Linked DNA regions of Xenopus tropicalis. The protein of the gene in region 3 purifies or fractionates together with the protein of the main gene of each other region. This does not show direct contact. Links are inferred from orthologs where the notes say so. Each region holds a gene or a part of one and is shown on either strand. Other genes may lie near its edges.

The links.
Region 1: the proteins of arid1a (region 3) and dpf2 purify together in Homo sapiens (affinity purification with mass spectrometry; 6 studies listed by BioGRID and IntAct, counting the BioPlex papers as one, with this or other methods). This does not show direct contact. The link is inferred for Xenopus tropicalis from reciprocal best matches to the Homo sapiens genes ARID1A and DPF2.
Region 2: the proteins of arid1a (region 3) and smarcd2 purify together in Homo sapiens (affinity purification with mass spectrometry; 7 studies listed by BioGRID and IntAct, with this or other methods). This does not show direct contact. The link is inferred for Xenopus tropicalis from reciprocal best matches to the Homo sapiens genes ARID1A and SMARCD2.

Annotation. Positions count from the first base shown.
Region 1 is NC_030680.2:32,327,783-32,331,435, forward strand, and holds part of dpf2 (zinc finger protein ubi-d4), read right to left. Parts: intron 1,662-3,653; coding exon 1,515-1,661; intron 1,149-1,514; coding exon 1,020-1,148; intron 13-1,019; coding exon 1-12. UniProt on the Homo sapiens protein: Plays an active role in transcriptional regulation by binding modified histones H3 and H4. Is a negative regulator of myeloid differentiation of hematopoietic progenitor cells. Might also have a role in the development and maturation of lymphoid cells.
Region 2 is NC_030686.2:15,740,155-15,743,907, forward strand, and holds the start of smarcd2 (SWI/SNF-related matrix-associated actin-dependent regulator of chromatin subfamily D member 2), read right to left. Parts: upstream 2,559-3,753; 5' UTR 2,527-2,558; intron 1,688-2,526; 5' UTR 1,641-1,687; coding exon 1,539-1,640; intron 1-1,538. UniProt on the Homo sapiens protein: Involved in transcriptional activation and repression of select genes by chromatin remodeling (alteration of DNA-nucleosome topology).
Region 3 is NC_030678.2:77,694,282-77,698,034, forward strand, and holds the start of arid1a (AT-rich interactive domain-containing protein 1A), read left to right. Parts: upstream 1-1,397; 5' UTR 1,398-3,307; coding exon 3,308-3,753. UniProt on the Homo sapiens protein: Involved in transcriptional activation and repression of select genes by chromatin remodeling (alteration of DNA-nucleosome topology).

The DNA.
Region 1 (3,653 bases), on a different chromosome or scaffold from region 3:
AGGAAGGGTGCCCTGTGTCCACAACATAGTATGTAAGTGAATATTTTGCATACATATGTATCCAATATCTGCGTTCATCCAAAAACTAAAAAATACCATATTTCTGCTGACCTCTGCAACATGTGCATAGCAACCGGCTGTAAATCTCAGCAAGCTAATCTGATATTTCTGACCTGAGGATCAATAACTCAAATCATAGGGGAACTTTAGAAGGCAAGCTGCCAAATGTTGAAGGGAGTTAATTTGCTGTACAATGTTGCTGTATACATTTGTTCTATGGATGTACAAAAAAAAAAAAAAAAAAAAAAAAAGCAAAACAAATGATGGTGCCCCAATCCTGTCCCCCCGCACAGCGCTTAATCTTTAGTGTCGGAGAAGGTAAAGGTGGTGCCACATCACTAGTGCAGAAAAGTGCTATTGCACTCTCTGCACTAGAAGAAAAATAAAAAATTGTAAATTTGGCTTTTTGCTACCACTGTTAACTGGCCGGCAAAGTGGTTTAAAAGTTCATCCCCAACATTCATTTTGAGGTCCACAACCCACTTAGCTTATAGCAAGGTTTCAAATGAACCCGTTTTTCAGTTTTAAGAATATCTAGGGCTGCAAGTAAGTCTTCACTCCTCACTTAACCCTTCAATGGGGATTTCAGGAGTATCTAAAGTGCAAAAAAAAGCTCTCACCCTAATTGGCTTGCTACTCAGAAATTGCCCAACTTCCCCGATCCCCCATGCCCCTCTAAGTGGATGAGGCCCGCAGTTAGCCAAGAACTGCTCTAAATTATTAGCAGAATGCACATTTATATAGCTTCTAAACATATATATGCATCACAATATCCCATTTTAGAATATTTAAATTGAGAATTCCTGAAAAACATTATAGTTCGGAATTCCTATGAGTGTTAGGACAGCCCATTTGGGCCTTCAACTTTTAAATGCAAAAGCTTTCCAGTTAAAAATAAAATCAGATGCATCATGTAGTATTAAGTCTTCATCAAATACTAGAGTCTTCTTTTAACATACCAGAGCGGCCGCAGTCTGAGCAGGACACAAGCTCCTCAGCCTGGTTTGTTTTCTTGTTAATCTTAGAGTCTCCAAGGCAGAAGTCACAATAATTGTTTGGCAGTGCAAGACCATCTGGGCCCTTTTTGGCTGGGAAAAGATAAAAGCATCAAATATGTTGAAAAAGGAGAACAAGAAGGAACAAACTTAAAAAAACTATTTTGAATAACCTAAGTAATGCAATCCTAAGCAATTTTTGATATATACTTTTAATGATATGAAATGTATTTGTAATTGCTATTGAATTATTTGTAATTAATGAATTTGTAATCGCTTTTGAAAGCAACACCTAAAACAATGGTGCCCTAATCTACGCTACCATGGGCGACTAATCTCCCCAAAATGCTTTCCCACTAACAGTAAAGTGAATTGCCGGTTGGAAAGCATACATGGTGCTTCGTTTTCTGAAGTTGCCCAAACATTTCCTCTGCATTCTGTGTAGATGCCTAAACTTACATTTTTGTTCCTCTGGTCTCTGCATGATAGGAGTGGGAGGCTGAGAATCCTCCTTATCTTCTGCCCCGGCACCTTCTTCATCCACAAGGTGTGAGTGGGCATAATGATAGCTCAAACCAGGCCTGTTTTTATAGCGTTTTCCACAGACTGGGGGGAAAAAGCAGGACAGCAGAAAATGAAGAGTAGAAAGAAGTAATAAAGCATTAGTGCAATGATAAACATTAAAAAGAGTCAGGTGAAAAATCACTACCCCACCAAAACAGGAGGATGTATAACAAAGCAAAGCCACAAGGGAAACTGGGTGGCAGGAAAGGATAGTTTGCAGGTGTTTTACATTGGGGACAGATGTTACTGTTACAGTAAAAAAAGGTCATGTTTTCACAAAGAACTTAGAATGTATTTAGTAATTCAGCAATAATTTTGCAATATCAACCACTTTTTTGTGCCATAAGCTAAAAGACACCTACATAACTCAATATGCTTTATAAGGTGAAAGTAGAAAACATCATGTACCACACAGGAGTACCAACACAATACTGCCAGATGTAAAAAAAAAAATAAAGTTATTCTTTTATTGGAGGTACAGGTCCAACAGGCAGATCAAAGATCAAAAATGATTTTCAGTTTTTGAGATGATATTTTAAAGATGCCAGCTAGGATGGCACTGGAATGTCTGTGTGGTTGGTATTCAAAATCTAAAAGTGCACCTCCAAGTAAACCTCCCTGGACTTCAGTCTTCATGCTACAGCTTTTGGTTTAGGTATTTTAAATTCCTGTGGCTGAATATTTAGAAGCAGTTTGCCTCCAGGCCAGACTTTTACCAGCATAACTATAAAAACCTTAAACTTCTGCTTTGGGGTAGCCTGCTTTTAAAGTGAGAAAAAAAGCAAACAATGTTATTGAATTACGAAGCAGATAAATACCTCTGCACTTCTGATCTGGCAACAGAAACATGTGTTACACAAGGAGTAAGGAAGAGCACACAGACAGACAGAGACTAATCAGTCAGGCATGTTACATTGCCCCAGAACTTTGAGCCTGCTTGTTGCACAACATCCTGACCTGGGCACATACCTTACCAATTTAAGGTAAAAGGTTGTCCCAGATCCGGAGTAAGACCCCGATTTACATATATGGATGAAACAGTACCCTGAAATATATGTTTGTGTGACCCTATGGGTCCATTTCTTGATAGGTTTGTTTCTGCTACCTATTTTAATGATGCCTTAAGTCCCTTTAGAACAGAAATTATACGGAATTCTTAAGGTGGCCATATACTAATATTTGCTGGTAATGACCACTGAGCCTGTGGGCCAAAGGACGGATATTGTATTGTATCCATAAAAAGTGCATCCACCTTTCTACCATCTCAAATGACAGAAATCAAAAACAGTAGGAGCCGTGGCCAGTTGGGGGTGGGTGGGGGTCCTGAGATTAAATCCAGCAAAACCCATATATCTCTAGTTATGCCACTGGCTATGGCTTTACCTTCCCTTTGACAAACCAACCTATAAAAACTGATAAAGGATATCAGCCAGAAGTATTTGACAAACATATTTGAACTGAAGATAGGATGAAAAGCTTATCAGTATGTTTATGGCCAGCTTTAGAGGAGCATCTTCATGGAACATAACCTCCATTCCCAACACCCTTAAAGGAGAACTAAACCCTAAAGATGAATATGGCTATTTTATACTTTTTTTTTTTTTTTACTAAACTGACTGTACTAGCTTCAAGTTTTAGTATCTCTACAGTAGTATATAGTAGTATAGTAGTATATAGGTCTTTACAGTTGCCACAGGAGCTTCCCATCTTGGATTCTGTTAGAACTGTCCTGGACAGTGCACACGATCAGTGTTTTCTTGGCAGCTACTGAAAAGCTAAGCTTAGGGGTTGTCGCAAATGATCAAACTGAAAATGAGGCTGGCCTGTCAAACTGATGCTACAGGTCTAATTATAAAATTCTGATGCAAACTGCACTGGTCCCAGAGCTGCCATATAATGAGAATCTGAATTACTAATCAGCATTATACGGTTACATTTATATTCTATATTATTCTAAATTATCTGCCTGATGAGAAGCCAATGTGCCAAGAGAGAGAAAAAAAACAATACAGCTGTGTGATGGCAGATGAGCAC
Region 2 (3,753 bases), on a different chromosome or scaffold from region 3:
TAGAATGCCTCACATCTGCCAGTGCTGACCTGTTCTAGAATGCACCACATTTGGAAGTGCGGACATGTTCTAGAATGCCCCACATCTGCCAGTGCTGACCTGTTCTAGAATGCACCACATTTGGAAGTGCGGACATGTTCTAGAATGCCCCACACTACCAATGGTGAACTATACTAGAATGCACCACACTACCAATGGTGAACTATACTAGAATGCACCACACTACCAATGGTGAACTATACTAGAATGCACCACACTACCAATGGTGAACTATACTAGAATGCACCACATCTACCAATGGTGAACTGTACAAGAATGCACCACATCTACCAATGGTATCAGGTGCCAGTGATGAACTATACTTGCATGTACCTCACTGACAGAGAGTGAACTTAACTGTGTTGTACCACACTGACTGGTGTTGAACTAGACCTGAACATACCACATTCCTAGGCAGTGAACTCTACCAGAATAGACCATCCTAAAGTGATCTATACCAGCATGCACAACACTGAAAGGCAGTGAATGATACCAGTTCAACCATACTCCAAACAACCAGTGATGAACTATACCAAACTGTACCACACTGATCAACAGCAAACTCGGACCATGCCATTTGCTGGTGAACTATACCAATATGTATGAAAATGAAAAATTAAAAAGGAGTGAACGATACCAGAACACACCACAGTGACATGCAGTGAAAAGACAATTATAAAGTGAAGTAGATTTAAATCAACTGATCAGTTGTTTACCATGATATGCACCATTGTATAAAATGTAGGATTACTATTATTATATTATTCTTGGAATGGTTACACAAGCCATCCTAGATTATCTAGGCCCTGCTTAGCAACCATCAAGGCCTTATCTATACTCTCCTCCTGCCTACCTGGGACCATAATGATGTGCACTGATTGTCACATGAAGATGTTATGTCTCATTTTTCACAATTACACAAAGAATTTAGAAAGATACTGGATGAAAGTGAAACATCCACAGTCTTTATTTACACCAACGACTTTACCTTTGGATTGTACAACTGCGATGCAATTCAATAGGTCACCTGAGCTGTAACTGAACATGACTGCTTCAGATCACAATTGCATCCGAAAAATGCTCTAGAAATATTAGATCAAGGGCCTGGTGTGCTACACAAGTCACAAATCAGTCAGCTCAACATTTAGTCGCATTTAGTCTGATTTGGAAACCAGAAGTAGCAGCTTGCCAGTAGCACAGTCAATGTGCAATTCTATAGATGCAAGCGTTCTGTGCACTAGTGCCTGACTTTGGATGCAGCTATGGCATATAAAACACAATCATGCTTCAGGCGTAAATCATTTTCATGCCATTGGATTCTGCTAGTCACATGCTACAAACGGGCATGTGATAGTCAGGCACTATTAACAGACCCAGCAACTTGGACCTACTGACTCTGCCCAATTAAAACTGGATAAACAATGTTCTAAATTCTAAATGAAGTGATCTAGCACAGGGAAGATGGAAATGCACAATACATTGCTATTGGAAATGGTTACCTGGTAAGGCCCCATTGGGGGTCTGTATGCTCCAGGGTTTGGTCCCCGCATCATGTTCATTGGGCTCCCAGATGGTAGAGGTAATCCTCCCCGAGAGGTCATGGAGTGTTAAACAGCAGACAGCACTACTGTGCACAGGTGAAGGAATGCTGTGTATATACAAGAGGGATATACTCTGTGTGAACAACCTCCTTCCTAATGAATCATATAATGTAGAATTCCTAATTATGCAGCCCTGCACTGCGTGCGTTGGCTAGTTGCGCAGCCCTGCACTGCGTGCGTTGGCTAGTTGCGCAGCCCCGCACTGTGTGCGTTGGCTAGTTGCGCAGCCCCGCACTGCGTGCGTTGGCTAGTTGCGCAGCCCCGCACTGCGTGCGTTGGCTAGTTGCGCAGCCCCGCACTGCGTGCATTGGCTAGTTGCGCAGCCCCGCACTGCGTGCGTTGGCTAGTTGCGCAGCCCCGCAAAGTGTGCGTTGGCTAGTTGCACAGCCTTGAACTGCATGTGTTGGCTAGTTGTGCAGTCTTGGCTGTGTGTGTTGGCTACTTGTGCAGCCCCGCAAAGTGTGTGTTGGCTAGTTTGTTTGCACTTTGACTTTTAAACAATTTTAACGATATATCTTCAATAAATTTTTGATAAAACATTGAAGGGTGTGCTGGCCACAGATGATTATTTTCTGTATATACATAATTTTGGCTATGCACCCCGCAGAATATTGAGCCTTGGAGTGCGGACACCATTTGGATTGATATATATATATATATATATATATATATACACACACGCACATTTTATACATAAATTGTGTGTATATATTTATCCTCTACGTGTTGCCCTATTCAGTTATACAAGCTTATAGAGTTCGTGTTAGTATCAGTACTATGCCTATCAGACTGTAGCCCTGTGTGCCCGTAGCAGTAACACGCGTGTAAGCCCGGCGCTAAGTACAGCACAAAGCCGCTATCCTACAGCTAGTCCAGCACTACTAACCGGATTCCCCAGTGAAACCCAGCGGGGTTCAGCCTCTCTCCGTATAATTGTGCCCGTACAGCTGCTCTCAATGCGCAATCCCTGCGCTGCGATCCTCCGGCTGTAGTTTCCCGGGGCGCAAACCGAGCGCTCAGCACTTTCCCCTTCCTGCTGCTGTCGGGCGGCTCATAGGAAGTTATTGGAAGGTTTTTCTGTTGGTGTCATCACTTCCAGAGAGCTGTTTTGCAACAAACCTCCTTTTCTCATCTCTGCCCTCCCACTGCCTTCCCTCCCCTCCCCTCCTCCTGTGTCTCTCCTCCCTCTGTTTCTCTTCCCCTCCTCCCCTTGTCATCTGCCCTTTCTCTTTCGTCTTTGCCAGCCCTCCTCTACCTGTACCCACCCCCTCTTACCCGTGCTCACTCTCCTTGCCTGCCCTCTCTTACTTGTACCCACCCTCTCTTACCTGCACTCCCTCTCTCTGCCTGCCCTCTCTCACCTGTATCCACCCTCTCTTACCTGCACTAACTGTCTCTGCCTGCCCTCTCTCACCTGTATCCACCCTCTCTTACCTGCACTAACTGTCTCTGCCTGCCCTCTCTCACCTGTATCCACCCTCTCTTACCCGCACTCCCTCTCTCTGCCTGCCCTCTCTTACCTGTACCCACCCTCTCTTACCCGCACTCCCTCTCTCTGCCTGCCCTCTCTCACCTGCACTAACTGTCTCTGCCTGCCCTCTCTTACTTGTACCCACCCTCTCTCACCTGTACCCACCCTCTCTTACCCGCACTCCCTCTCTCTGCCTGCCCTCTCTCACCTGTATCCACCCTCTCTTACTGTCTCTGCCTGCCCTCTCTCACCTGTACCCACCCTCTCTTAGCCACACTCATTCTCTCTGCCTGCCCTCTCTTACTGTCTCTGCCTGCCCTCTCTCACCTTTACCCACCCTCTCTTAGCCACACTCTCTCTGCCTGTCCTCTCTCACCTGTACCCACCCTCTCTTACCTGCACTAACTCTACCTGCCCTCTCTTACCTGCACTCACTCTCTCTACCTGCCCTCTCTTACCTGCACTCACTCTCTCTACCTGCCCTCTCTTACCTGCACTCACTCTCTCTGCCTGCCCTCCCTTACCTGTACTCACCCTCGCTGCCTTCCTGTCCTACCTGTGCCACCTTCTCTGTCAGCACTACTCTACTTGTGCCCACTCTGCCTTTTCCTACCAGTTCCACTCCCTTTGCCCTTCCCCTCT
Region 3 (3,753 bases):
TATCACTGATGTTTTCACTTGCACTTTAACCTGTTGTATTTGAGTTTGACAGGATACAGGCACCATGTTATTGCTATGTCCACAATGTTTTCATCATTATTTCAATAGGGCCAGTGTTCCCTGCATGTCTACACCATGCCACACCTTATCCACAACAAAAAAAACTATGGGATTATAAACCTTACAATGATGGTACTATGTGATACAACAGTGGGCCCTAATTTACTAATTATTAACTATGGGTTACTGAAGTTGCATTTCTGCAGTTATGTTAATAAAGAAGGAATGCTGGCCTCAAAGTGCAATTGTTTTTCCTCAAAGGAGATTAAATCCTCTTTCCCCCTGCACCACTTATTGCCATATTTGCACCTGCTATAAAAATGTAGAGTTGTTCAGTGTGGTTGACAGACACCATCTTACACCTCTATGGATCATCTTCTGTGAAAACTCTCAAAACTTTGCAAATTGAAATTTGTAATAAATGTTTGTAAATAAATAAATATGACTAAACTTGCATGTAAAGATCAGCTTGTTTGTCAACCAAATGTTGGATTGGAAAACTCCTGGTGGGCCCAGGTGTCAACAGGCCCTCCTGCTTCTAACCATGTCATGGTTAGTCCTTATTTTTGTATAAGAACAATGAGGCTAAATAGATGAAAGAATAGGTCATAGTATGTAAAGGAAAGTGCGCCCAGGGCTGCTTCTGACATGAGGCAAGGTGAGATCGATCGATCGTAAGATCGAGGTCGCCAAGCGAGCGGATCTTCTCCCGATATCCCCCCTATGGGTGGGCAATATCGGCTAATTTAGATCGAATTAAAATGACTGGTATAGGTGTCAGTTGATTCAGGGCCGATTTCAGGCCAGGCCCGTCTTTAGTGCCCATACACGGGTCGATAAGCTGCCAAATCAGTTTAAGGGATTGATATCGGCAGCTAGAATCAGCCCATGTATGGCAGCCTTTACACAGTGACCTAAACACAGGTATGTTGATTTAATATTAGGTATGTGCCATAAAATATCTTAATATGTACAGACACACACTGTGTAATGTTATGGCTGGAATAAAAAAAAATGGAGGCATTTTATTTTAGAAACTTAGTTCTCAAGTTTTTTTTTAATTGTTATGTAAACTTGTATGGATATGCAATATCCTAACTACTCAAATCTTTGTGGGGAAAAGGTGATCTATTGTCTTCCCTACCAAAACCAGCCCTGGAAATAAGCGCCTCTGTGCTACTGCTTCTTCTTGCAAATAAGTTGCTAAACTTTCATCATTCAGGTATTAGCATGAATCTCTAGGTGGTGCTGTGTCCGCTGTTTATGCTACATGTACTTAGTGAGACACACATACTGCTGGGTACATGTAAACACACACAAACTGCACGTGTACGGGGACACAAAGGAGAAATGTTTAATCGGGACCCATTCAAATATACATAGGAATACACAGTTACCTTTCAAGGTAATGAGACACGTGATGTTTCTATTTTACAAATGATTATAGCAGAACAAATGATCTATTTGAAACGCATAAGACTGTTTAGCTTCTACATAACTTCCCCAATCCACGTTCTGGTTACCTCCCTCCTTTGTCTCCAGCCCTATACAACCGCCCCCACCATTTTACTTGGCCCATCAGCCATTGCGCGCGTCCCCTCCCTCCCCTTCCAACCGCAGAGAATTATGGGCTATCATGGTCACAACAGGATCCTGAGTGTGGAGCTTGGATCCGGACTGAGGCTAGAAAACAAGCTGATAATAAGGTCCCCTCCCCCATTCCGGCGCTCCAGACTATCCTTTGTGCCGCTCGCTGACTAAACGGGTTGATAAGCGTGCATGCATGCTGGAAGGGAGGGGGCAACTGGAGAAATATGTCCTACGGTTCACACAGATATATGTAATGCAGAATCACACCGATAAATTACTTTGTGGCGTACAGTTGAGCGTTCCACGCACAAATATAGACGGCCGTTAAGTTTTGGCAGAAGAAATAGGTTATTTTATATACGGCTCAATTACTCAATGTGTGTCCTATGATTTTACCTACAAATAAATTATAATTGCGGTAATATAATTAAAACGTCCATAAATTGTTGTCTTAAAATAACATTAGAATGGAAAATCGCTTTAGTACGAAGAATGCGGCACCCACTTACAGCCATGTTCACATGTATGCTAGTGTGTGCCTATATACATGTGTGCACACATAGAGCACTCGACACACGTGACCAGCACGTTGCTTCGCAGCACAATGAGCTCAGTACCGGACGCACACACCTCATGACGTAGCAACGCTGTGACACGCCTTTTGGCATCACGTGATGCTTAGTGTTCGGCTTCCCGCGCTCCGCTCTGGGTCTTACTGCCTGACCTCTCCTTACGCTGAAGCCTATGGAAGACAAATGAAGAGCCCCGGGTCATTTACCCAGATCCGGGTTTTATTGTCCTCACCGTCCTCTGATTCTTTGTAAGCCTATGGGAGATAAAGGGTCCAATCTCTAAGATCCTGTCCTGGCCCTTGGTTTTCTATGCTTTAACTTAATTGATTCTATATTCCGGGCTTTACCCTACCCATGGAACTGATCTTCCAGTCCATAATTCACTTCGGGTTTTACTATCTTACCCAACCCCTATCCAGCTCCTGATTTTACTTTCTTCGGTGTTCAGCTCTGTGAGAAAAAAATCCAATCTCCTTCTCTCGCAGCCCCCTCTCTGTGTGAATGATTTAACTCCGAGCTTTGCTCCACTTGTCATTATGCCTAGGATCTATCTCTGACCTAGCATATCCTTTTGATCCAGTCCCGGGATTTTGATGCTACTAAATGTGAGTGACAGCCACCCAGCTCCGGGTTGCACTCCAGTCCCCTAGCTTTATCTCCCCTTGTGCCCGGTCAATGTGATCCAGCTCCAGTTCCTGTCTGTATTCCAGTTCCAGGTTTTGCAGCTTGTATCACCGTGTGAGTGATCCAGTACCCAGGCTTTACTTCCCGGTCCATGTGATCCGGCCCAGTCAACGATTTTTTTTTCTGTGCCTCGGCCCAGTGCAGGAAGCAAGTAGCCCGGTTCCTAACTCGTGTTCCAGTGCCCGGGTCTTGCGGCCTGTACCACCTCCAGTCCTGGACTCCAGCTCCGCGCTTTGCGGCCTGTCCCTCCTCCTCCTCCTTTCTCGGTAAAATGGCCTCTCCTCCTACTCTCTACCGCCTCGTGTCCGACTAAGCGGATCCCCCCTCCCCTCCTGCCCGAACCAAGCCCGATACCCCGGGAGGGGAGGCCTCCTCTATCCCCGTCCTTTTCTCTGTCCTCCATGGCCGCCCAGGTGGCCCCGGCCTCCGGCCCTAGTTTGGGGGGGACCCCGCCCGCTGCCGGCCCCGACCTGAAAAAGAGTCCCGGAGATCCCCCTCCTCCCTCGAACGAGTCACAGCAAGAGGCTCCGGTCACTGCTTCAAACGAAACGGACTCAACAGAGGCGGCCAATGGGACACGAACAGTGCCGGCCTCTTCACACCAGGAGCCTGGGGATCCGCCTGCGGCCTCCTCCGCCTCATCGCACCCGCCCGGTGGGTTCGGCTTCTCTCCGTACCCGAGAGGAGTTTTTCAGCCTGGCCCTGGCTTGGACTATACTCCTCCCACGGATGCCTATAACTCGTACCCGGCCTACCCTAACAGGGCCTACCCGCCGGGCTACCCCCCGCCTCGCCCGCCCGTCTCTACAGGCAAGCCCCCGGCTCCGGCCTACCCGCCACCTCCACC